Lytechinus pictus: one gene and its partners. The protein of the gene in region 1 interacts with the protein of each later gene in a pairwise test. Links are inferred from orthologs where the notes say so. Each region holds a gene or a part of one and is shown on either strand. Other genes may lie near its edges.

Region 1 (7,504 bases):
CCACCTGAGAGATATGATTTTGATGTCTAGACCATGGTTTCAATGGTCAAATAATACATTGTGACAAGTTACAAGGACAGTCAGTGGTCCGGTATGTTAAAAAAATCCAAGATGTCTTCCAAAAATGGAGTAAAAAATGCTGTTGCTACTTTAAAAAAAACCAACATAGTTTGTTAAATATCCGGGAATATGATTTTTTGTGCCTATACCATGGTTAAATGGGTCAAATAATAAATTGGGATAGGTTACAAGGACGTTTGTTGGTCAAGTATGTCCAAAAGTCCACGGTGGCATAGTATCAATTAGCCGCGATGGTATTTAAAAATTGACATAGTTAGGTTTTATTCGTCAAGGGCATATGATTTTGTTGCCTATATCATGGTTTCAAAAGGCAGAAAATTAGTTACAAGGACAGTCAGTGGTCCAGTATGTCGAAAATCTAAGAAAGCTTCCAAAAATCGGAGTCTAAAATGACTGCTGTTACTTTAAAAATGGACATAGTTCCTTTAAATTCCACCTAGGAGATATGATTTCGGTGTCCACACTATGGTTTCATGATTAAAATAATACGTTTGGACTGGTTACATTGATATGCAGTTGTCCAGTTTGCCTAAAACACAAGAGGGTTTTTAAAAAAGGAATCTAAAACGACTCATATCATTCAATACTGGTCAGAGTTCTACAATATTCATCTGCAAGAAATAATGTTGGTGTCCAAATTGTGGTATGAAGGGTCAAATAATACATTCGGAAAAGTAACAAAGATGGTTAGTACCCCATTTTGTCAAAGATTCTAAAATTTCATCAAAATGGGTGCTGTTACCAACTCATGAAACAATATGATAACTTGTCCCCATGCATTTAAGTGTAGGCACCAAGATTATTTCTAACAGGTAGATATTTTATGTAACGGTAGTCACTTTAGAACCCATTCTTAAGCCAACTTGGATTTCAAGGCAAAATGAATTGCTGCATATCATGGTAACCAGTCCCAAAGTATTGTTTGGCCCTTGAAACCCTAGTGTAGACACCAAAATAATATCCCCAAGGTGTATTTATAATGTTCTACATCCCCTTTTAAGTAACAGCAGTCTTTAAGACCCCCATTTTTAAAGCCATCTTTGATTTTTGGACATACCTGACACCTGACTGTCCTTTGAACTTATCCCAATGTATTGCTTGACCCTGTAAACTCTAGTATAGACAGCAAAATCATACCTCCAAGGTGTATTTATAATAAACTATGCATACTTTTAAACAACAACAGTCAATTTACACCCCATTTTTTTAAGTAATCTTGGATTTTTTAACATACAGACAACTGACTGGTCTTGTAACTTACCCTAGTGTATTACTTGACCCTTTTAAACCATGCTTTTAACACCAAACTCATATTCCCCAGACAGATGTTAAACAAACTATGTCCTTATGTAAGTAACATCAGACATTTTTTTACTCCATTTTTGGAAGCCATCTTGTAATTTTGGACGTACTAAGCCACTGACTGCCATTGTCTTGTCCTAATTTATTATTTGACCCTTGAAACCATAGTTTAGACACCGAAATCATATCTCACAGGCTGAGTTAAAACGAGCTATGCCACTTTTAAGTATCAACAGCCATTTTAGAATCAAGTTTTGGAAGCCAACTTAGGTTTTTTGACCGACCAGGCCACTGACTGTCCTTGTAACTTGCCCTAATGTATTAATTGATCCTTGAAACTAGTGGTTTAGACACAGAAATCACCTTTCCAGGCCAATATGAAATGAGCTTTGTCCGTTTTAAGTATCAGCAGCATATTTTTAAGACCAATTTTTTGACACCATCTTCGATTTTTGGACATACCAGACCATTGACTGTCCTTGTAACTTATCCTAATATATTTTTGACCCTTGAAACCAGTGGTTTAGACATCAAAATCACATATCCCAGTCCAAAATGAAATGAGCTATGTCCGCTTTAAGTATAAGCAGCCATTTCAGAATCAATTTTTAGAATCCATCGAGGATTTTTGCACATACCAGCCCACTGACTTTCCTTGTAACTTGTCCGAATGTATTATTTGACCCATTTAACCATGGTATAGACACAAAAAAAAATCATATTTCTGGACATTGAGCAAACTATGTCGGGTTTTTAAGTAGCAACAGCAGTTTTCGACTCCATCTTTGGAAGCCATCTTGGATTTTTGAACATACTGGACCACTGACTGTCCTTGTAACGTGTCCCAATGTCTTATTTGACCATTGAATTCGTGGTCTAGACACCAAAATCATTATGTCCCAGGCGGATATGAAATGAACTATGTCCATTTTAATTATCAACAGCCATTTTAAACTCCGTTTTTGGAAGCAATCTTGGATTTTTGGACACACCAGACCACTGGCTGTCCTTGTAACTAGTTTCAATGTACTATTTCACCCTTAAAACCATTGAATGAAAAACAAATTTAGATGAATTGTGGATTTTCAGCCCACGGCAGCCATTTTGGGCGCCATCTTGGATTTGCCTGGTACACTGGAGGGCTTATAATTCTTTCTTGCCTAAATCAACTTTTGTGCCCCAGACCATGGAATATAGAACGAAATAGGATTCTAGGGTGGATAATGTGTCAGTTGTATCAATTTTCAGTGAATGGCGGCTATCTTGGACGCCATCTTGAAAATAACCACTTTCCCGGATGCGGATTTAGGTAGATTTTTAGTATGTTATTCCTGAGGTCAAATAGTACAAAATACCGTTGAAAAATCATTTGTTGCAATTTGTTCCGGGTAAGGCTATTTTTGGTCGTATATTGACCCGTCTACGTATGTTCTGCGGATATCTTCGGAGCGGAATTTTGGATCGCGCGCCCAGCTGATTATGTAAACAAACGTAGACGTAGACTCTTCACTAGTCGCTTTGTGGCTATTTTTTCGGAAAATGCCTTCGCCAGGGTGTAAAACGGAAACGCGCACCCAGGGCCCCGTCCCGGGGGGGGGGGGGGCACTCAGTATATAATGCATAGTGGGTATGTGCCGCGGAGGGGACCCCCATTTTTACACTCAAATTTCCGTTCCAATTAAGGCATAGCATTTTTGTCTTATTGAGAAAAAGAACAAAGAAAGCCGCTCCAAGGCATAGCATTTCCTTCTTATCGAGAAAAAAGAAGAAAGAAATCCGCTCCAAGGCTTCGCATATTTTTCGTTACGCCGTTCCGGTCGCATTGATCTGCTACAATTTTGGTGAAAAGCGGCCGTAGAGCGCTTTTCGACCATCGCCTAAGCGCGAGCGCACCCGGCGGAGGCCGCGCTAGCTGCGTCGTGCACGTTGCCCGTTCCATAGGGATGCATACGCACTCACAGAGATACGGAGATCCGTTCCGAGGACCCCCGTTTTCACAAACATTTGTAGTTCCGAGGACCCTCCTTTTTACAATAAGCCCGCTCCAATTATAAGGCCCCCGTTTTTTGCCTCGCCCGCGGCACACCCCTACCACTTTTTTGGTCGAGTGCCCCCCCCCCCGGGGGCCCCGTCTTACAATCCTACATGTACGAATTGATCCAATCAACCACAATTATGGAAAGCCAGCAACGTCAACATTTGAAATAAATGTTTGTTCAAAATATTTCCAAGATATGTAAATACATTTACTGTTTTCTTGAAAATTCAGTGTTTTTCTCTTTGTTTTCAAAGCACAATGTGCAAATTTCCAAATAAAAAAAATTCCATATACTTGAGGTTGATCCCGGGGGCGCGATAGGATCTGGATCGATCGTAGCTCTTTGTAAGACGGGGCCCTGAGTGTTTCATCAATGCAACGTTTTCGTTCGACAAATTTTCAGATCTAACATCTTTCTTTGATTTTGATTGGGTGCGAAGCAATGTCACTTTGGTAACTGTCGGATTAAAACCATAAAATGACCTTCGGAAAAACGTCCGACAAATCCTTTCGAATTTCATGAAACGCTCCCCAAATACCGGAAGTGAGAGTGACACTCCTAGATTACCCATAATTCCATTTATGAACACGGAAGCTTCTGCGAACTTGGACAAAATTGTACAAAATGTCAACGTTGGAACTTCTTTTCGAAAATGAAATTCCTGCTGGAAGACAGGCTTTACAGGACAGTCATCACAACTTGCAAGATGTGGCTAATTATTGCGAAGATAATTACCGGAAGGTAGATTTAATCAATTTTTGTATTACCTCGGTCCCACTCGCAGAATTTTAAGTTGGTCATGTTATTATTGTTGGTCGAAATTGAATTGGTCCCCAACTCTGCGCACCTAAAATTTGAGTTAAGATTTAACATATATTTCTTTTTATTTCACAAAATTTTCAGTTGATAATGTTCCTGACATCATTATGAGTTAGTGTGCCAAATATCTCATGTCATGATAATTTGAAAATTTTGAATGAAATATATGATTTTTTCGGAAAAAACATTGGGCAGTCATTTTCACTTTCACTTTCAGATTGAACAAGAAAATAAAATGGTGCCCCATGTCTGCGCACCCATTCACTCTGGGATTTTGAGAAAGGCTGCATTTTGAGGCCGTCACAAGAAATGCCCAAAATTCATTATTTTTCCACCATTTTGATGAATATCTTTCTATGTATTGCATGTGTAAATGTGTTCATTACGTATCTTTTACTAGAATCGCGCAGATACGCAAGTGCGCAGACAAGGGGGACTGCGCAGACGGGAACTTACCAAACTTATATTATGATGGTGGTCCCCAAGCCTGCGCACCTAACGATTTAATTATTTTCCCACCATTTTAAATCAGATTTTTTTATGAATATCTGTCTATGTATTGCATGCGTAAAATTTCTGTTCTTTTACTATAAATACTAGAATCACGCAGATTACATGTATAGGTGTGACAAACAGACTCCACAACAATGAAAAAATAAAACTCAAACTGAAAATTTAAGATTAAAAGAAGTCTAAACGAATGAACCAGTCACATAAAAATTGAAACAGGATATTAAGATAATACCTGTGAAGTGACAAACCACCCAAGACCAAGTGATTTTAATGAAACTGCCTTTTCCCTGCCTATCTTTAGAATATTATGGCATTGAAAAAGACATATTTTTGCCTCTGACTGTCATCTTCCCTCAAACTTAGTGGTCATGATGTCCCCCAATCTAATGTGGACTTCAAATCTACAGTAGCTCAGCCCTTTTCAAACTTGAAAAATATTATACAGGTTTACTTGGATGTAGGTGAGGCAATTAGTCTCACTTTTTCTATGAAAAACATTACTGAGCTTAGTTGCTTCATATCTGAATGAGGCATCAACAAATCATAAGATAATCCCATCCCATCCTACCATACATTACCACACAAATCACTCTCATCATATATTTCCTTTTCTATCTTTTTGATAAAGGCCTCTGATAAGAGGAGAGCACTTGAGGAAACAAAGAACTTCACCACTCAATCTCTTGCCAGTGTGGCATATCAGATCAACACACTTGCTACCAGTATGTTGCAGATGCTAGATCTTCAAGCCACACAGCTGGCCAACATGGAGTCTAGCATCAATCACATAGCACAGGTAAGCTCAATCTTTTTCCTCAGTTTCAACTTGGTAAAGACAGTGTGGAAGCAATTTAATTTCTTCTATGTAAAGTACTGTACATGTTGATTTTGACTCATTAAGAATTCACACTGTCTGATGTGTTTTAGGCCCTCCCCCCAACTTGTTCCATAAAATTGTTATTGTTTCTTTATACACCATAGTACTTAGTATTGGACTAATAAAATGTGTGATTGGAGGTACAGCAAATTCATTTAGCATGAGCCTGGTGGTTATTCGACAAATCTGTGGAATTGCCAAAGTACAGTTGTAAACAAATCTCTCTTTTTTTTTCTTTCAGAATGTTGCCATCCACAAGGAGAAAGTAGCACGTCGAGAGATTGGTGTGTTAACCACCAATAAGAATTGCCCTCGCACTCATAAGGTTGTCACACCACCCAATCCTGAGAAGCAGCTTAAGTATAAGTCCACTCCCATTGATTTTTCAGCTCTGGATGACGTAGGTCATGGTCTCAAACTTAGTTCTCCTTCAACAACGTCAGGTAGACCACGAACAGATTCACAAGCAAGCACTTCTACATCTAACAGTGGTGGTGGTGGAGCATATGAAGCATTGCCAGTTTACCAGCCACGACTGGATGACCCGTACAACTCCATGCGTAGACGAATGCCCAATCACCCACCAGTTGCACCAACTGTACCACCACAGTATATGTCTATTGGTAAAGTGGGCATGCGGGATTCTCACCACGGGGCGCCACCAAAGGAAAGGCCATCGATTCCAGGATACATGCAGGGACAACCAGACCCAAATGTACCTGCAGCCCCACCCCCTCCACCAAACATGCCAGGTACACACCCTGGTATGGCACCAGTCGGCCAAGTGCCACCTCCACCACCTGTCATGAGTGGGCCTCCACATACTAACATGGGCCAACCACCACCACCTAATATGGGACCTCCTGCCCCTCCTGCACCCCCAATAGGAGGTATGATGCCCCCAGCACCATCACCTGCACCAGCTGTACATCAGCTACCTCCAGCAACACACCAACCACCCCCAGCAGCCCAACAACCACCCCCGCAGCAACAGCCAAATTTTGCTGCCCAGCTGAACCAAGCTATTGGAATGAGGCCAGGTGCAGGAGAAGCCCAACGTAACTCCATTAACCCATATGGGGATATCGGGATGCCTCCACCACCTGATATGGGAGGTAGGTTCCGGACATCTCAAGTGCTTTTGGAAGTAAAGGCCAAGAAATTCAGTCATTTCAATTCCTTTTTCACTTTAATCATGACATGGTTGCATAGATATATGCATGATTTATTTAATGCTCAAGTATCAAGTCATATTACAATCACTTGGTGAGAATCGGGCTGCATGAAGATCATTATTAAACCAGGCACCCTCAGATATAAAATGAGAAACACTGATAATATCTAATGTCTCATAATCACCATTCTGTATCTTTCTCAGATGTATTTCATTGCACTGTTGATGATGATTTCCTGCACATGACAACATTCAATACTAGGGCTCTGCTGTAAAATATGTATCATCAGTGCTTTGGTTACTTTTCATTAATAGTAACTATCATACTACTACACTTCCAATCACAATCAAGGTTTCCATGGAACTTATCATTAAATTACAAAGTACTGTTAGTATCGATGATCAGTTTGTGCAACAGAGCCCTGGATGATAAAGAAACAAAATGAAATAACTCTGTTAATGTGTTACTTTTGCACCAATTTCACCCACCCATTTTATCAACAGCCTCAGATCTGCCACCTCCTCCTATGGATTCTATGGTATATAGCCAAGACAGTGTGGTGATGCCTCCACCTCCAGAGTTTGAACAGGTGGATGATGACCAGTTTGTTCCCACGCAGTACATTGAGAAAGGTAAGTGTCACTCAGGAACTGTTCTTTGCCAGTTTTAGATACTGATTTTAGATGCTTTTTTGAGAT
Region 2 (7,657 bases), about 8.6 Mb from region 1:
ACATGGAGTAGAATGTTGCTACAATTTCAGATTATCGAAATGTGTGAAATTTTGAAAGAATTTTCAATCACTCAGCATGACTGATCTAAATAGATGATGAATATGAAAAAAAATAAGCGAGAAAAATGGATAAACAGGACCGAGGAGATCAATGTGAAGAGTGAAGACATATTTCTTAAACTGCATTATATCTGTGGGCTATTAAACACACATTCAGACTGTGGTTTAAAAGCATAGGACATTCTTAATAAGTAGGCTTTAATTGTGCAATAACAGGAAATAAATGCTAAAAATAAAAAGTTATGATCACTCCATCTGCTTATAAATCTAACCTACGATTATGCTTATGCAAACTGTCTCGTTGAAAAGATCAGTCAAATCTTATGATACTTAAATTTGAACTTTCCATTCACTATTTCACCTAACTTTAACACACATATCATGTAAACTAAAGATTTAGCAAACCCGATTCAAATTTGCATTATCTGCACCTGTTGTTTCATGATAATGTTATCATTATACATTTAGAAAAAAAAGATAAGGTTTGGTCAAGAGATGGAATTGTGGCATTACAGTGATTGAGAAAATTTTATTATAATTGGTGCATGCTGTAATGTAAAATCATGGAATAATGAGCAGAAATCTTTGGCCCAAATTCACAAAAGTTCTTTTTAAAACCATTGGTTGAACCCATGGTTTATGCAGATTTCATGTATAAATTACGCTTATTTAACATGTTATATTAAAGATTCCAGTGCTGATGCACGCTTTTGTCACAGTGCGCCAAATTGACGCCTGTTGCCATGGTTAAGTATGCTATTTTATCAATGAGTCCACTGTTTGAAGAGTGGACTCATTAATTCAAAACAGTGGACTCATTAATAAAATAGCGTGGATAACCAAGGCAAGAGGCGTCTATTTGGCGTACTGTGACAAAAGCACGTATCAGCATTGGACATTTTTTAGTATGCGGTAAATAAGCGTAATTTATACATGAAATCTGCATAAACCATGGGTTCAACCGATGGTTTCGAAAATCAACTTTGTGAATTCGTGCCTTTATGTTTTGCTGAAAGTCGCACAGGAATGTTGGCGCATAAAAAGAGGAATACTGGACCCTTTCTTACAATATTCTTATTACTCTGTAAACAACATAAGAGGTAGGCATACTTAAAAGATGCCCATAATAATTGTTCTCATGCTTTCCCAAAACTTTGTTTTCTTTTGTTTTTATGTCAATTAGATCATTGTTTTTAATCAGACTGATATTGTGTACATTGCTTTACGTACAAAATGCAGCTCCAGCATCAACAATAATGTTGGACTAATATAGCGTCAAAGCCATTCTGCAGAGTGCTCAAGACAATATTTATAAATCATGAATTATGAAATTAAGGAGAATTGAAAAGAAATGTTTTTAGGTTTTTTGTTTAAGTTTCAGAAGTTAAATCTTTTTTAATAATCTCAGAAAGATCGTTCCATAACTTAGAGGATAAGAGGATAAATGACCCCCCCCCCCCAGATTTGGAAAATTTGGGGGTAACAAGTGAACTTGAAGTGGTGGAACACAAGGATCTAGAAGGGGTGTAGCTTTTAATTAATGAAATGAGGTACTGCAGAGAAGAACCATGTACACAATGGAATGTTAACAACAAAATTAAGACAAAATATGAAGTGGATTCATGAATAATCATGATAATATCATGCCCATGCCATAAGTGCTAACTTTCGTTTTATAAAATGTAGAATTAATTTTTAAAGAAAGAGTTCCTTTTGCAACAGCCACCCACATTTCATCAATATCAACTGACCTAGTATTATCAATTGTATTGTGTATTGTATTTATATCTATAGGCATATCCCGCCACAGGCCTTTGCATTTACATGTAGGGTATATGCCATCTTCTATATACCAAACATGTACATATTCATATTCTACATGACAAACTGATTTTTGTATCAATTTATGTTTACGAAAAATGTAGAAATTTGTGAAACGGAAGAAAATAAATGTTTATTTGAATTTGAATTGAAAACCAACATTCTGAAAGAGGGCAGTTTTTGAAGGGTATAGAGTAAAAAATGGGGCATGGTTATATCTATTTATTATCATATATATAAATAAATATATATATTTTTTTTTTGGGGGGGGGGTTATTATAAAAGAAAATGGAAAAAAAATCATTTTATGATTTTTGTTTTGGTTTGGTGTTTGTTGCATTCTCACTCTTTCTCTATCTCTCTTCCCATATAACTCTGTCTATTACTCTCTTGCTCCTCTGTTGTATACCTGTCAGGAGAGAAGTTTGTGAATTGTTTTAATGCACATAAATACAACAAGTTTTAATTAGAAACAAAACTGAAGGTTGTGATGTTGACTTAATCAAGGAACCTTGAGCATACATGTCCTCCGCCTTCACGATGTACCAGCAAGAAGGTGTTAATGGCTTGGGCATTATATAGGGAGCTACGACAATGTTTTTGTCACTAGATGGCATTGTGAATTTTCTAGTAGTTCTCGTCTTACAGCGAGTATATCTTCTGTTGTAATATTTGTGCAGAATACCACGCTAACAGAATAAAGCCACATGACACAGATTTGTACACACCTAATGACTGTTGCATGAGACTTGTGAGTATGCTACATGTATATGTAGTATAGTGCCAGTTGTTCTCACCCAAGCTGTTTGACTGTGTGGTGTACCAAGCTAATGGAATATAGCCATGTGACAGCTAGATTGTATCTAGGCTAAGCCTTGTGAATACTTGTGACTTTTAGTACTTTGCCAAATTCATATTGGGCTTTTGATTTTCCAATGATATGGCCATGGGTGACATGCATTTCAACAATTTACCAATGATATTGTAACAGTCAAAATCTTATTACTAGATTATTGGCTATCTAATCAGTTGAAAGACCAGGGGGATTTTGGGGGCCATTTATGCCCAGTGGCAGTGGATTTCTACCATAGCTGTGCAGTTTTAGAAATACAACTTGGCGCGGGGACCCTTCCCACGTTAGCCCCAGGATGTCACCACAGTAACCTTGCTGACTAAATAAAGCCAAGGTATGTATTCTTCATCTTCATACCCTAACCCTAATTCTACAAGTGTCGCTATAAGGCGAGCACATAATACGCCTGCCTGTAAAGCGGAAAATGGAGTTATTTGCCAAGCAAAAAAAAAAGTGGAAGGTGGCGACTTCACCTTTGACAGTCTGACCTAAAAGTCAATAGAATTCCTGGGATCCATGCTAGTATCATACACACCAAATTAGATGAGCCTGGGTTAAGTTAAACTAAAGTTATCACGTTTACAAAGACTTCAGAAGGGTAAGATGAAAACATGTCACTGTGACCTTGAACTTTTGACCTCAAAATCAATAGGCTTCTTGTGATCCATAATAGTATCATACACACCACATTATATGAGCCTAGGTTAAGTTAAACTGAAATTATCGCATTTACAAGGACTGCAGCAGGGTAAGGTGAAAACCTGTCAGTGACCTTGACCTTTGACCTTTTGACCTCAAAATTGATAGGCTTCCTGGGATCCATGCTAATATCATACACACCAAACTACATGAGCCTAGGTTAAGTTAAACCATGGACCTATTACGAATGGACATTCAACGATAGCATTTTATGACCACCACCTGTTTCCAGCTGTCAAAATCGCTGTCTAACCTTTAACTTTCTCTTTACGCGGTTTTTACGACGACCGCCCGGGGCGATTGTTTACACAAGCTCCTTTCGGCCATTGATCGTCATCGATCGATCACTGGCCCTCTTTCGACCAAAGACGGTCATGTTTTAGCCCGATTGCCAATAGGGAAAGTCCCTACATTACCTAAAATGCAATGCGCAACTCATCTCCGTTTTTTTAGTACATTATTTTAGGCTGTCTATAATGTGCGATTGTCGTCTGACCATGAAAAAAAATCCCGTTAAATTTCATCAATCCTGTGGAATTTTATGCCCAAATGAAAATCAACTTCTGACCGAAGGTAAGCGCTACTATCGACATCAATACTGTCCGAAAAAGATGCATTTTTAACGTTTTTCCGCACATTTCTCCATCAAATTTCAACTGCTTTTTTGCAGTAGATATACTGATCTGCACGACGATGTCAATGCATTTCATGTGCGGTTGTTTGCGATGTACGTAAAAAATACCTTTATGCACGCCTGTTTTCTTGTTTCTGCAATCATTTTCATAGTGCTAACGTTCGCTGCCGTGCGTTGCTTTTGATAAAGTGAACGAACAACATCGCAATGTGTAGGAGCAGCGTACAATTGATTTCCGCTGTCCATCAGTGATAGCTTGTTTTACGACCGGCTTGATGGGCGTCAGCTGCCAGCGCTCTGTTTATAAAAGGATTAGCGGTGACGGTCTTTGGCCCAAAGGAGGGGATTCGTTGAATGTCCATCGTAATAGGTCCATGGTTAAACTGAAGTTATCGCATTTACAAGGACTGCAGAAGGGTAAGATGAAAACATGTCACTGTGACCTTGGGCTTTGCACTTCAAAATCAATAGGTTTCCTGGGATCCATAATAGTACCATACACACCACAAACCACATTATATGAGCCTAGGTAAAGTTAAACTGAAGTTATCGCATTTACAAGGACTGCAGCAGTGTAAGGTGAAAACCTGTCACTGTGACCTTGACCTCTGACCTTTTGACCAAAAAATTGATAGGCTTCCTGGGATCTATGCTAATATCATACACACCAAACTACATGAGCCTAGGTTAAGTTAAACTGAAGTTATTGCATTTACAAGGACTGCAGAAGGGTAAGATGAAAACATGTCACTGTGACCTTGACCTTTTGACCTCAAAATTGAAAGGCTTCCTGGGATTCATGCTAGTATTATACACATCAAATTATATGAGCCTAGGTTAAGTTAAACTGAAGTTATCGCATTTACAAGGACTGCACAAGGGTAAGATGAAAACATGTCACTATGACCTTGACCTTTGACCTTTTGACCTCAAAATCCATAGGCTTCCTGGGATTCATGCTAGTATTATACACACCAAATCATATGAGCCAAGGTTAAGTTAAACTGAAGTTATCGCATTTACAAGGACTGCACAAGGGTAAGATGAAAACATGTCACTATGACCTTGACCTTTGACCTTTTGACCTCAAAATCCATAGGCTTCCTGGGATTCATGCTAGTATTATACACACCACACTACATGAGCCTAGGTTAAGTTAAACTGGAGTTATCGCGTTTACAAGGAAAAGTTGACGGACGGACACCGAGCATGACCATAATATGTCCCGTCGAGACGGGCGCATAATGAGATCTAAGTATAACTTGGACATAATTAGGCAGTGAGACTTTGCTGTCATAGGTCTAGATTCATGCACTACATGTATGTCTAAATACTTATTCAAATTTCCTTTAAAATACACTTATAACATTGATTAAACCAACTTGATATATTCGTACTATAGGTAACATGCCAAGTATTAAGTCAGTTTTATGTTTCAATGGCTATTGCAAACTCAGGAATAATTTACAAGCCACAAAACTTTAATAATTCAGAGATCTAAACACATCACTACCTTGATAAAAGTTAAGCCCATTGACCACTTTTAAATCAGTCAAACTAACCTCTCATGGTCAGTGTCATCATAGTTTATTCACTTTTTGGTTTTAAGCTAAGACGGATGCCTACATTATGATCTCACCATCCGAAAATACGTATCCCAGTGGATTCGAGAGCATTCTGTTCTCCCTCCGCAAATGGGAGAAAATACGGGAAAGACTCAAGAACATTTGTGGAAGAATTCGTCTCGTTTTGAAATGGTCAAAACCAACCGAATACCCTCTAAAATATTCCTGAATGAATGTGGCCACAACAAATTTCATTTGGGCCACCTTCGGGATGTACCGTATTCGGATGACATTCCGTTGGATTAGGTGAAACATTCAGAGTATTCTGGGCAGATTTGGCCAAATTCGTTCTGATTCAGATCATCATTTAGCTGTAATAGGAGTAACCCGGCCACATTCGGCTCCATTCTTGCCACTATTCGGGTAGCATTTGGCTTTATTCAGGATGGCTAATTGATTCGGGTCAATTCTTGGCAATTCCTGTAATGGGGGGGGGGGGGACTTCCCGAATCAGCTATCAGCATGATCAGAGACTAATAAGTTCTGAATACAGAGAATTCATCTGAATCAGGCAATATTCGGGCAGAATCAGTCCAGATTCATTCGGCTTTGGTGTAACCCTAGGTTAATACAATCATGACGATACCATTTTCAAGTGACCAAAATATTTCAAATGAGAAGATGGGTGCGATTGGAAGCTGATATGGTAAAGATGAAAAAACGATTATGGCAAGATATTTACAAAGGCCTATTTATTAGTAGAGGCGCTGGTCCAGAAATTGGGATTGTCCCAGAAAACAAGGATATCCTCACAAACCAAGACAAATCATGTCTTGATAAATTGAGATTGTCCTTGTTTATTATGGGGACAGTTTTTGCACTTACCCCTGCAGGACATAGATGGCAATTACGGGGATTGAGAGTGCTAAAAAAAAAATTCAGTGACCTCAATTCCCAGTCTATTTTGAATTACTTGCTGTCGTCCAATAATCTTGTTATGAAACCTGATATGTTCACATTGACTAGCGCACTTGATTGGTGTCTGCAATTGACAGGTCAATGAACTTTGTTAGATTTCTTGGGTGGCAAAATCTTTGAAAACTGAGACAGTCCCTGGAACTGGGACGATCCAAATTTTCTGACCAGCGCCTCTACTGATTTATATTGAAGGTAGCAACGTTCTCGCTACCATGCATCACGGTTGGCGGGCGGCGACTACCCTGAAAATTTTCAGGGCAAATCCGCCAACCGTGAACTTCACCAACAACCGTGGCTGACAATGGTAAAACAGGCCTAGATCTAAAAAAACAAGGCAAAAGCGATTTTGTGTCTCGCCCACTTATGAAAAAAACCAGAAATATCATGATTTGCGAGGGCACGCAACAGAATCGTATCAAACTTCATTGTGAAATGACTGGGATGGAATAACACTTGTCTTAAGAGCCTTGCACGTAAACTGTATTGTTGACCTAAAAATGACCTTCGACCTTACCATGTGACCTCCGACTGCAGCATAACATGCAGGTCGTCTAAGTACATCTATCATAAAAGTTTTGTTGAAAAGTGACTTACGGTTGCGGAGTTAGGTGTCATAAAAAAGTCTTGCATGTAAACTTTAACGTTGACCTGAAAATGACATTTGACCTTATCATGTGAATTCCGACTGCAGCATAACATGCAGGTTCCCCAAGTCCATCTACCATCCAAGTTTGGTTGAAAAGCAACTTACAGTTGCGGAGTTAGGTGTCATAAGAGAGTCTTGCATGTAAACTTTAACGTTGACCTGAAAATGACCTTACCATGTGACCTCCGACTGCAGCATAACATGCAGGTCCCCCAAGTCTATCTACCATCCAAGTTTGGTTGAAAAGTGACTGACGGTTACGGAGTTAGGTGTCATATGAGAGTCTTGCATGTAAACTTTAACATTGACCTGAAAATGACCTTTGACCTTACCATGTGACCTCCGACTGCAGCATAACATGCAGGTCGTCTAAGTACATCTATCATAAAAGTTTTGTTGAA
Region 3 (7,925 bases), on another chromosome or scaffold:
TTATTTCACAAGCCAGCACAATCAATCACCAATTCACCAACACTAGCCATGCACTATGTCATACGAAGGGCAGGGGCTGTCAGTGTCAATTTTTGTCTGCAAACCAAAACATGGCAATACTAAAAATAGTCATAATACATTTCACAGACCTTCATTTTTGAGGAGCGCGATCGCGCCGGCACTCCTACAGCGCTCCTAAAAAAAAATAAGGAGAACAAAAAATTGCGCTCCTAAAAAAACCATCAGATTTTTTATTAGACGTCTTCCGGCATGCTGCAGGACTCTAACCCACGCACGTTGAGATCTACGATCTTATCCGGAACAGGCGCTCTAACCGACTGAGCTACGCTACGCTGCCTCCCTTGGTGCTGAAATTTCACATTTTACATCTTTTTTTTCATGAAATAGGCATCTATTTTCCATAATTCCTTGAAATTATTTTGATTAAGTTGGAAACTACTGAAGAAATTAAGAATATTCACCTCTTTCCTGACTCTGATTTGATGTTAAACTCTGTAAATATTGTAGTCCCATATGTAGATTTTCATGGTGTTGACCAAGTGTAAATCGATCAATAACGATCTAACGATCATTTTCAGTTAATGTTGCAACACCATGGAAGTCTACATGTGGGACTACAATATTTACCGATTGTAACATCATCAATCAGTTTAAAAAACTCTTCTTGGAGTATTTCGGAGGAACATCATACCAAGTACCAAGAATTAAGAAAGAGCTGAATATTCTTCATTTAGTTTTCAACTAAATCAAAATAATTTCAAGGAATTAAGGAAAATAGATGGCGATTTTATGGATTTAAAGATGTAAAATGTGAAATTTTCGAAATTTTTGTACAGTATTTTTTGTAAAAAGTTTTTTTTTTTTAAATGCAGGAGTGTGATATTTTACACGACAAATCGTCCATAGACTGTGTACAACGGATAGATCGTCTCTGCACAGCAATTCGGAGACTGCTGATTGGTCAATCGTGCAGATCAGGTCATGACTACGTGGTTGCCAAAATAATTCCATCGGACTGCGTGCAGAAGTATCGATAGCGATAACGATATCCGGTCACCTTGTGTACGCGGGAAATGGTCGTGATCGCTCCGGCATCGATCGAAAATTATCGAAACTGCAATTTCATGCATATTCACGCGACGCTCCGAAACCGGGAAGCCAATTGACTTTGTGCACGTTGCGATAGACTACAAATTCCAATGAACACGATGCCATACCGACGCTAATTCGTAAGATTTTGACAGAAAAGCAAGAAGTAATCGAAATTCGCTTACCTGTGCGGTATCGGTGAGAAAATATAACCTCCGAGAAACCCTTTCATAATTCATATAAAATATAAGTGAAATTATTTCTAGGTCGATTTAGGTACGAGGTGATAGAGAATTGCACACTTGTTTTGGTGGAATACTGTGTGGGGAAATGGAAGGCTTGCACTACGCTAGACCAAAAGCTTCAGTCTCTGTATTTTGGTTGTTCCGCTGAACTATGTTGGCTCCACTCACCATACATAGACTGAAGGGGATGGGGCCCCGTACCTACAGCCAACGTATAGTGAACTAGCGTTTTATAGATCGCGATTTAAAACTGTTTTTTAAGCAAAATTGAAAGTTTCATGGTTTCCATTATCAGGGAAATATAAATAACTTAAGTAATTGCATACCTTGGGCCGGAGTTATTGAAAAAAATCCTCTGGATGATTGAGAAATCTGTCATCTAAGACATTTTCACCTGACCTGACGGTTTTTCTTGCAAGTTGCCATCTTGAATGACGTCATTATCGTTATTAACTTAATGTCTCGAATCGATATATCGCGATTATAACTAGTACTAGTACTAGTATAACTAGTATCGTTTATCTTCGGTTTCGTTCGCATATGGAGCAGATCGTATAATATCGAAAGCAATATCGATATCACATTCGTGATTGTTGACGTTCGTTTGTAAATATTTTATAGTTTGGCTGCCATTTTGACCATTTTTTTCGTGTTCAACCCAATTAAACATCGGTAAAGTATATTTTTCATGCCTTTTTCATCTATATCGTTTAAAGTATTTAAACATTGAAATATTAATTTTTAAAAGTTTGTTGTTTATACATCCTTAGATTGTAAATTCGATGTGTAAAATTACATCAAACTTTGGACTGTGAATTGACAAAAGGGAGGGAATGAGAACACATGCGAGCCCACACGTACACCCTTCCGTCGGTAAATGGGGATTACAGTAAAATGTCAGAAATTGTTGAATAAATCCCCAGAAACGACGGTTATTCCTGTCTAGCACTACGCATGCTTACTATATTTTCATTCATAAATTGGCTCTCGGCAATGGCTGGATGACGTCATGTAATAAGCAAATGTACACGACCGCTAGCGTTGAATAAACGTATTGACCCTGGCCTGGCCAGGCCTTGTTTCACCACAGAATAGGCCTACAGACACATCTATAGGATAGTAAATTAGTATAGCATTTACAATTTTAAGAAAAATCTACAATTTATCATAAGATTCATATATATATTGTATTGAATAGATTTGAGCTCCTCAAGAAGAGCGATTCTGAGAAGCTCAATTAAGCTGCTGGAAAAATAAGGAGAGCGATTTATTGAGCCCCACGAAATAAACGTGAAGCTGAACTTGAACTTGAAGGACTGATTTCATGATTTCACATGATATTATCGAGATGGAGATTATCTAGTCTACATTGGCTTGCAAATTACATACTAGTAGGGCCTATTCAACAAGCATTGATGCAAATTTCATTTTGTGAAAAAATATTTTGGAACAAAAATATTGTAAGTATAGAATCGTACGTCTAGTGTGCTAAAACGGTGATTTTACTTCTGTGTTATTCGAACGCAACCATCAAGGAATCGTGCTTACACCAATTCCCTTGTGTGCATCATATATTGCATACGGTGGTAATATGAGTGGCCCACTGTTATTCGTACCTTTTTGATGTTGTATAATCTTGCGAGCATTCCTGTGCCACGATCATTGAGAATTGAGAGTTTTTCAGCCAGCTTGAGCTGGCCTTGAGATACAGGCATCCTGCTGGACATATCAGACAGTAATCAACGACATCTAGACTCTAATTAAAGCTGCAATAAAGGGCATTCGATACAGGTTTAGCATTCAAGGTGCGGCCTTGTCGCAAAATTAGGGAACTCAGCCGCTCGTTAATGCAAACCAGGAAGAAAGTCCATCAAAACAATTTACAAACTTTATTAAAGGCTTTTTTATATAAATAAGATTTTTTTTTACTTCCACTTTTTCGAATAAAAATAATTGATATTAATAGAATTTATTATTTTACATCACTTAGATTATAAATATATATTTTGATACACATAAATATATTATTTTTTTAATGTAAGCCGGCAATATCATCTTATGCATATCGTGAACCATATAGAATTTCAGCACGTGAATGCGGAAGGAAAATCAATAAACATGCGTGGCGCGCCTAATGCCCCCCCCCCCCTAGACATATGGACTGTTTTTTCTATCAAGGTATTTTTTCCATACAGGGTCATAAATGTCAACTAGTGAACGTAACTTTTTTTTATTAAAGAAATAGTTCGTGGTTGATAAACTTATTTTACCGCAAAGGAATTTTCCGAGTCTCGATGGGATAAACAGTTTTTTTTTTTAATAAACAATTTTTTTTTTCAAGTGATCGAGCGTTTTTACTCGAAAACAGATGTGCATCAGGAGGGGGTGAGAGTGGGCGGGGAAGGAGAAAAATGTTATCCATATTTTTCTGCAAAAGCCGGGCTGCTGGAAGAGCTAATTGGTGGGGATGGGGGTCGGAACGGGGGTCCAGAATCAAAGATTGAAGTAATTTCTTGGCGTTATTTTTCAGTACAAATTATAACAATTTAGGTATGAAGCACGACCCATTTTTTTCATACTGAATTGAACAGGGAAGTTTTAATGCCGTTTGAATTCATCATACAAAAAAAGTATATCCATAAGTTTAAGTATCTCACTATAAATACTAAATGCATGTGAGCTAAATTTTCTTTTTAGTGTACTGACCTAAAAAACGAAAGTTTTATGCAATATGACATTTTATAATCATGAACAGGACACATAATATAATGTGAGCTCATGAAGCCAAGCTGATCGAACCATCGATCAGAGAGTTCTCACTGGCCCCAGAAACATATTAGGCATTATTTAGCACAAGGAAATCATATGGCATAGGCCTATTCTGGACCGCGGAATGAGAGGGATTAGCCTTCCGTTGTTTAATCCAGTTTAAATATAGGAGTATACGGTGTCCATTTATGTGATTGTGATTGCAGCATATTGCCCCTCCAGGTTTTCGTTACACAATCTATGACCATGCTGTCTCATAAAACAATCATTTCTTTTCACCCAATTATCCAAATACAAAACAGCAGCTTCATTCCTTAGCTATATATAACAAAATAATTTCACTAGAAAAAATAAATTATTTAGAAAACTAATGTCAATCGAATGAAAAACCATGCATTTTCATCAAGAAAACGCTGCATGTTTATCCCGATGTTTATCAAAAATATATTTTTTTATTTCCTAGTATTAAACTTGCATTATAAAAAAAAAAACTATAAAGAATGTATCCCTCCCCCCGAAAAGCTGGGTTTGACTTTTATATACACAACCATACAAAATCTGTAGTCTGATATCTGCGGGACGTACAAAAGGAATTATCGTCCGATTCGTGGGTCCCCATCCGACGAGGCGCAACACCGAGGGGGGGGGGGGGGGCAGGGGAACGTACAGTATATATCCACATAATAATTTTCTTCATGTCAAACAATGATCGAAACTTTCATTTTCGGGTCAGTATAATATGTAGTGAGATAGAGATAGAGAACCTATTACAAACAAGTGGTTATATAAATACTCCGTTTTCCGGTCTGGATACAAAACAAATGTTCAGTTTGCGCTTCGCGCTCGCAATATATGATCGAATCGTGAGGTGTTTGATCCTCTAAACTAATAGCAAGAAACCGGCAAGAAACAGTCCTTGACATTTTCCTTTTTTACATATCAGTATATCAAAGATTTTAGCTCACCGGTTATCGCGCTGGCTTAATTGCTTTAATGTGCGTTCGATTAAAAAAAATATATATTTTGTAGGCATTCCCCGAAGTTCTCCGCCAGGAAGTGTTACTCGCTGCTCAGTGATGGTGGCGTAGTGCAGAAAGTTTGAAGGAGCTAGGTATGGCGTACCGCGTAAGAAGTTGAGAGTGATATATTACAAAAATCTAATATTGTCATAGATATTGACATAATATTCAGGAAATGATATCATATCTCACCTTTCTCTCTTTCCCTTTTATCAATCCCCTTCTCTTCTTTTTTTACTAGGTCATGATTTTTTTTTGGAGGGGGGGGGGGGGCAAGCACCCCCAATTAAGGCCTCCCCTGCGATAGGCCTATTAGGCCTACGACATCGAGAGGAATCATATATATTGTAAACCATGAACGGAGTTTTATTTGTAAATGATTATAAAAAGATACTGAAGACTGTCTATCATAATATCATACAATATTAAACATTCATGCATCCCCCGTTATGTTCTAATCTTCAAACTCTAGCCTCAGTCCGGCTTACTTGGCCTCGCTTTCTTAAAAACCTTTTGATGACTCCATGACTTAATTGCGACAATTTCTCACAGGAACAACATGATAATCTAAACCTCAAACATATCACCCTAGCTATAAATCCAAATAAACATTTTTTCTGAAACAAATCAATTTCTATCAAAGTAAAGATTTAGCGGGGTCGAGCATATACCAGGTGTCAAAGTAGTAATACAGTACTAGGCGAGATCTATGCAAACTATTTTCGAATTAAAATTTTGAAGGGATTTTTATAATTTATATCAGGATAGGAATGCTAATTACAGTGTCCCTTTCCAGTTTTATTGCAGGGCAATTGCTTTCATTAAGTTCTCTTTATTCTTGCCATAACATAGTTTGAAAGAGATCAGAGTATTATTTTTGAAAATGATATCATCTCTCGTAAAAAGGCTCACCTCATATTATATTCTAACGTCTTCGATTCTTTTAAATGACAATGATAACGGTGACTGAGAATATTGATAATCATGATATCGATAGTATCATTAGGCGTGTCATTGGTCTTTTGTCAAATTTGATTACCATTTAACAATGTTTTCAACTAAGAAAAGTAAATTCTCAATTGTGAAATTATAACTTCATTTTTTCATGCCTTATACATATCCACATTATAACATATAAAAAGTCAGAAGAAATTTGAGGGGTGAAGTAAACAGTCGGCCTAATCTTATATAAAAATAAAGAAATATTTCTTCCCCGAGCTCTATACGAGGAATGACAAGGACATATTTGCAAGCCTTTTGCAAAACCATATATCAACTTTTCTTCCATTTGTTTGTTTCTTGTTTTTTTGTGTGACAGAGAATTTTTTTTTATTAATTTGCCAAAAGAGCAGAAATAATATATACACAACAAAAAAAAGTATGTCCCCCCTAAATCAAATTGCTGTAACTTTTGAACGGAATTATTTTGAGATATGATATTCCGTAGGTGGTTTTCTACACTCATTAAGCAACTCCCGGAGAAAAATAAGATTGATCGGTTGAGTCATGCATGAGTAATTAAAGATTGAATTAAAAATGACCATTTTTGAAAGTCACAAGAGTCGTTTTTCAGATTGTGCACATACAAAGTTGGGCAAATGTTGTCTTTAAGTGAATTTTATGGTGTTATGCTGCTTTACTATCCATCATTTAGCCACTCCACACACAATTTTGATATCATATATTCATGGTTGAGTGAGCACAATATATTGCAGGGGCCTCAGAAGCGGGGGGGGGGGCTGGGCGGGGAGCTTCATCCCCCCACTTTTTTCCAAAAGCATGTACAAAAATGTAAAAATGACCATACGATTGTGATTTTTTGCATGGTCAGCCCCCCCCCCCCCCCCACTTTGAAAACCCTTCCCCGGCCCCTGTATTGTAACGTATCATCATAGGGGTTTATGGTTGTATCTTCTACAACTTGTTAGATCATGTTAAAATTTGAAAATGTTGGTGGCTCCCCCGATTATAGGCCCCTCCCCCCATTTTAAAATTCTGGACCCATCACTGATTTGTCCATAAATTAACCTGATCATGAGAAATTGTTAGGAAAAGAATACATTTATGCAGTATAAAGAGTATTTATTCCTAAGTTTTTGAATGTGCTCGCTCAACCATGGAAATGTTTAAAGTTCGGAAAGTGTGTGGTGATAGAAATGATGGATGATAAAAACAATAGGAATTAAAGTCTTATTTGAAACCGAATATGCCCCCAATATTCACTTTATTACCCTTTAAAATGAGTCTGTGACATTGAAAATACAAATTTTTCCACTTTAGGTAGGGTTTCACACGCCAATACTGTCTTGTTAAGCCTTAAAGGACAAGTCCGCCGCAACAAAAAGTTGATTTGAATAAAAAGAGAAAAATCCAACAAGCATAACACTGAAATTTTCATCAAAATCGGATGTAAAATAAGAAAGTTATGACATTTCAAAGTTTCGCTTAATTTCACAAAACAGTTATATGCACATCCTGGCTGGTATGCAAATGAGGAGACTATGACGTCATCCACCCACTATTTCTTTTGTATTTTATTATATGAAATATGAAATATTCTAATTATCTCCTCATTGTCAAGTGTGAAAACGATTAATTCCTCCCTGAACATCTGGAATTAGCATTGTTTAACACTATATTATGGTTCAGTCAAGTTGGTACTTATTGTCAAATCTATAAAAAATGAAATATTGTATAATTCAAACAATAAAAAACAAAAGAAATAGTGAGTGATGGACATCATCAACTGACTCACCTAGTTGTGCATATCACTGTTTTGTGA

Evidence for each region.
Region 2: the proteins of abl interactor 2-like (region 1) and actin nucleation-promoting factor WASL-like interact in a two-hybrid assay, tested with the Drosophila melanogaster proteins (2 studies listed by BioGRID). The link is inferred for Lytechinus pictus from reciprocal best matches to the Drosophila melanogaster genes Abi and WASp.
Region 3: the proteins of abl interactor 2-like (region 1) and nck-associated protein 1-like interact in a two-hybrid assay, tested with the Drosophila melanogaster proteins (2 studies listed by BioGRID). The link is inferred for Lytechinus pictus from reciprocal best matches to the Drosophila melanogaster genes Abi and Hem.

Annotation. Positions count from the first base shown.
Region 1 is NC_087247.1:39,154,746-39,162,249, forward strand, and holds the start of abl interactor 2-like, read left to right. Parts: upstream 1-3,974; 5' UTR 3,975-4,046; coding exon 4,047-4,163; intron 4,164-5,382; coding exon 5,383-5,550; intron 5,551-5,872; coding exon 5,873-6,746; intron 6,747-7,309; coding exon 7,310-7,438; intron 7,439-7,504.
Region 2 is NC_087247.1:47,756,056-47,763,712, forward strand, and holds the start of actin nucleation-promoting factor WASL-like, read right to left. Parts: upstream 3,558-7,657; coding exon 3,468-3,557; intron 1-3,467.
Region 3 is NW_026974140.1:15,023,592-15,031,516, forward strand, and holds the start of nck-associated protein 1-like, read right to left. Parts: upstream 3,232-7,925; 5' UTR 3,083-3,231; coding exon 2,972-3,082; intron 1-2,971. UniProt on the Drosophila melanogaster protein: Plays a role during growth of the oocyte.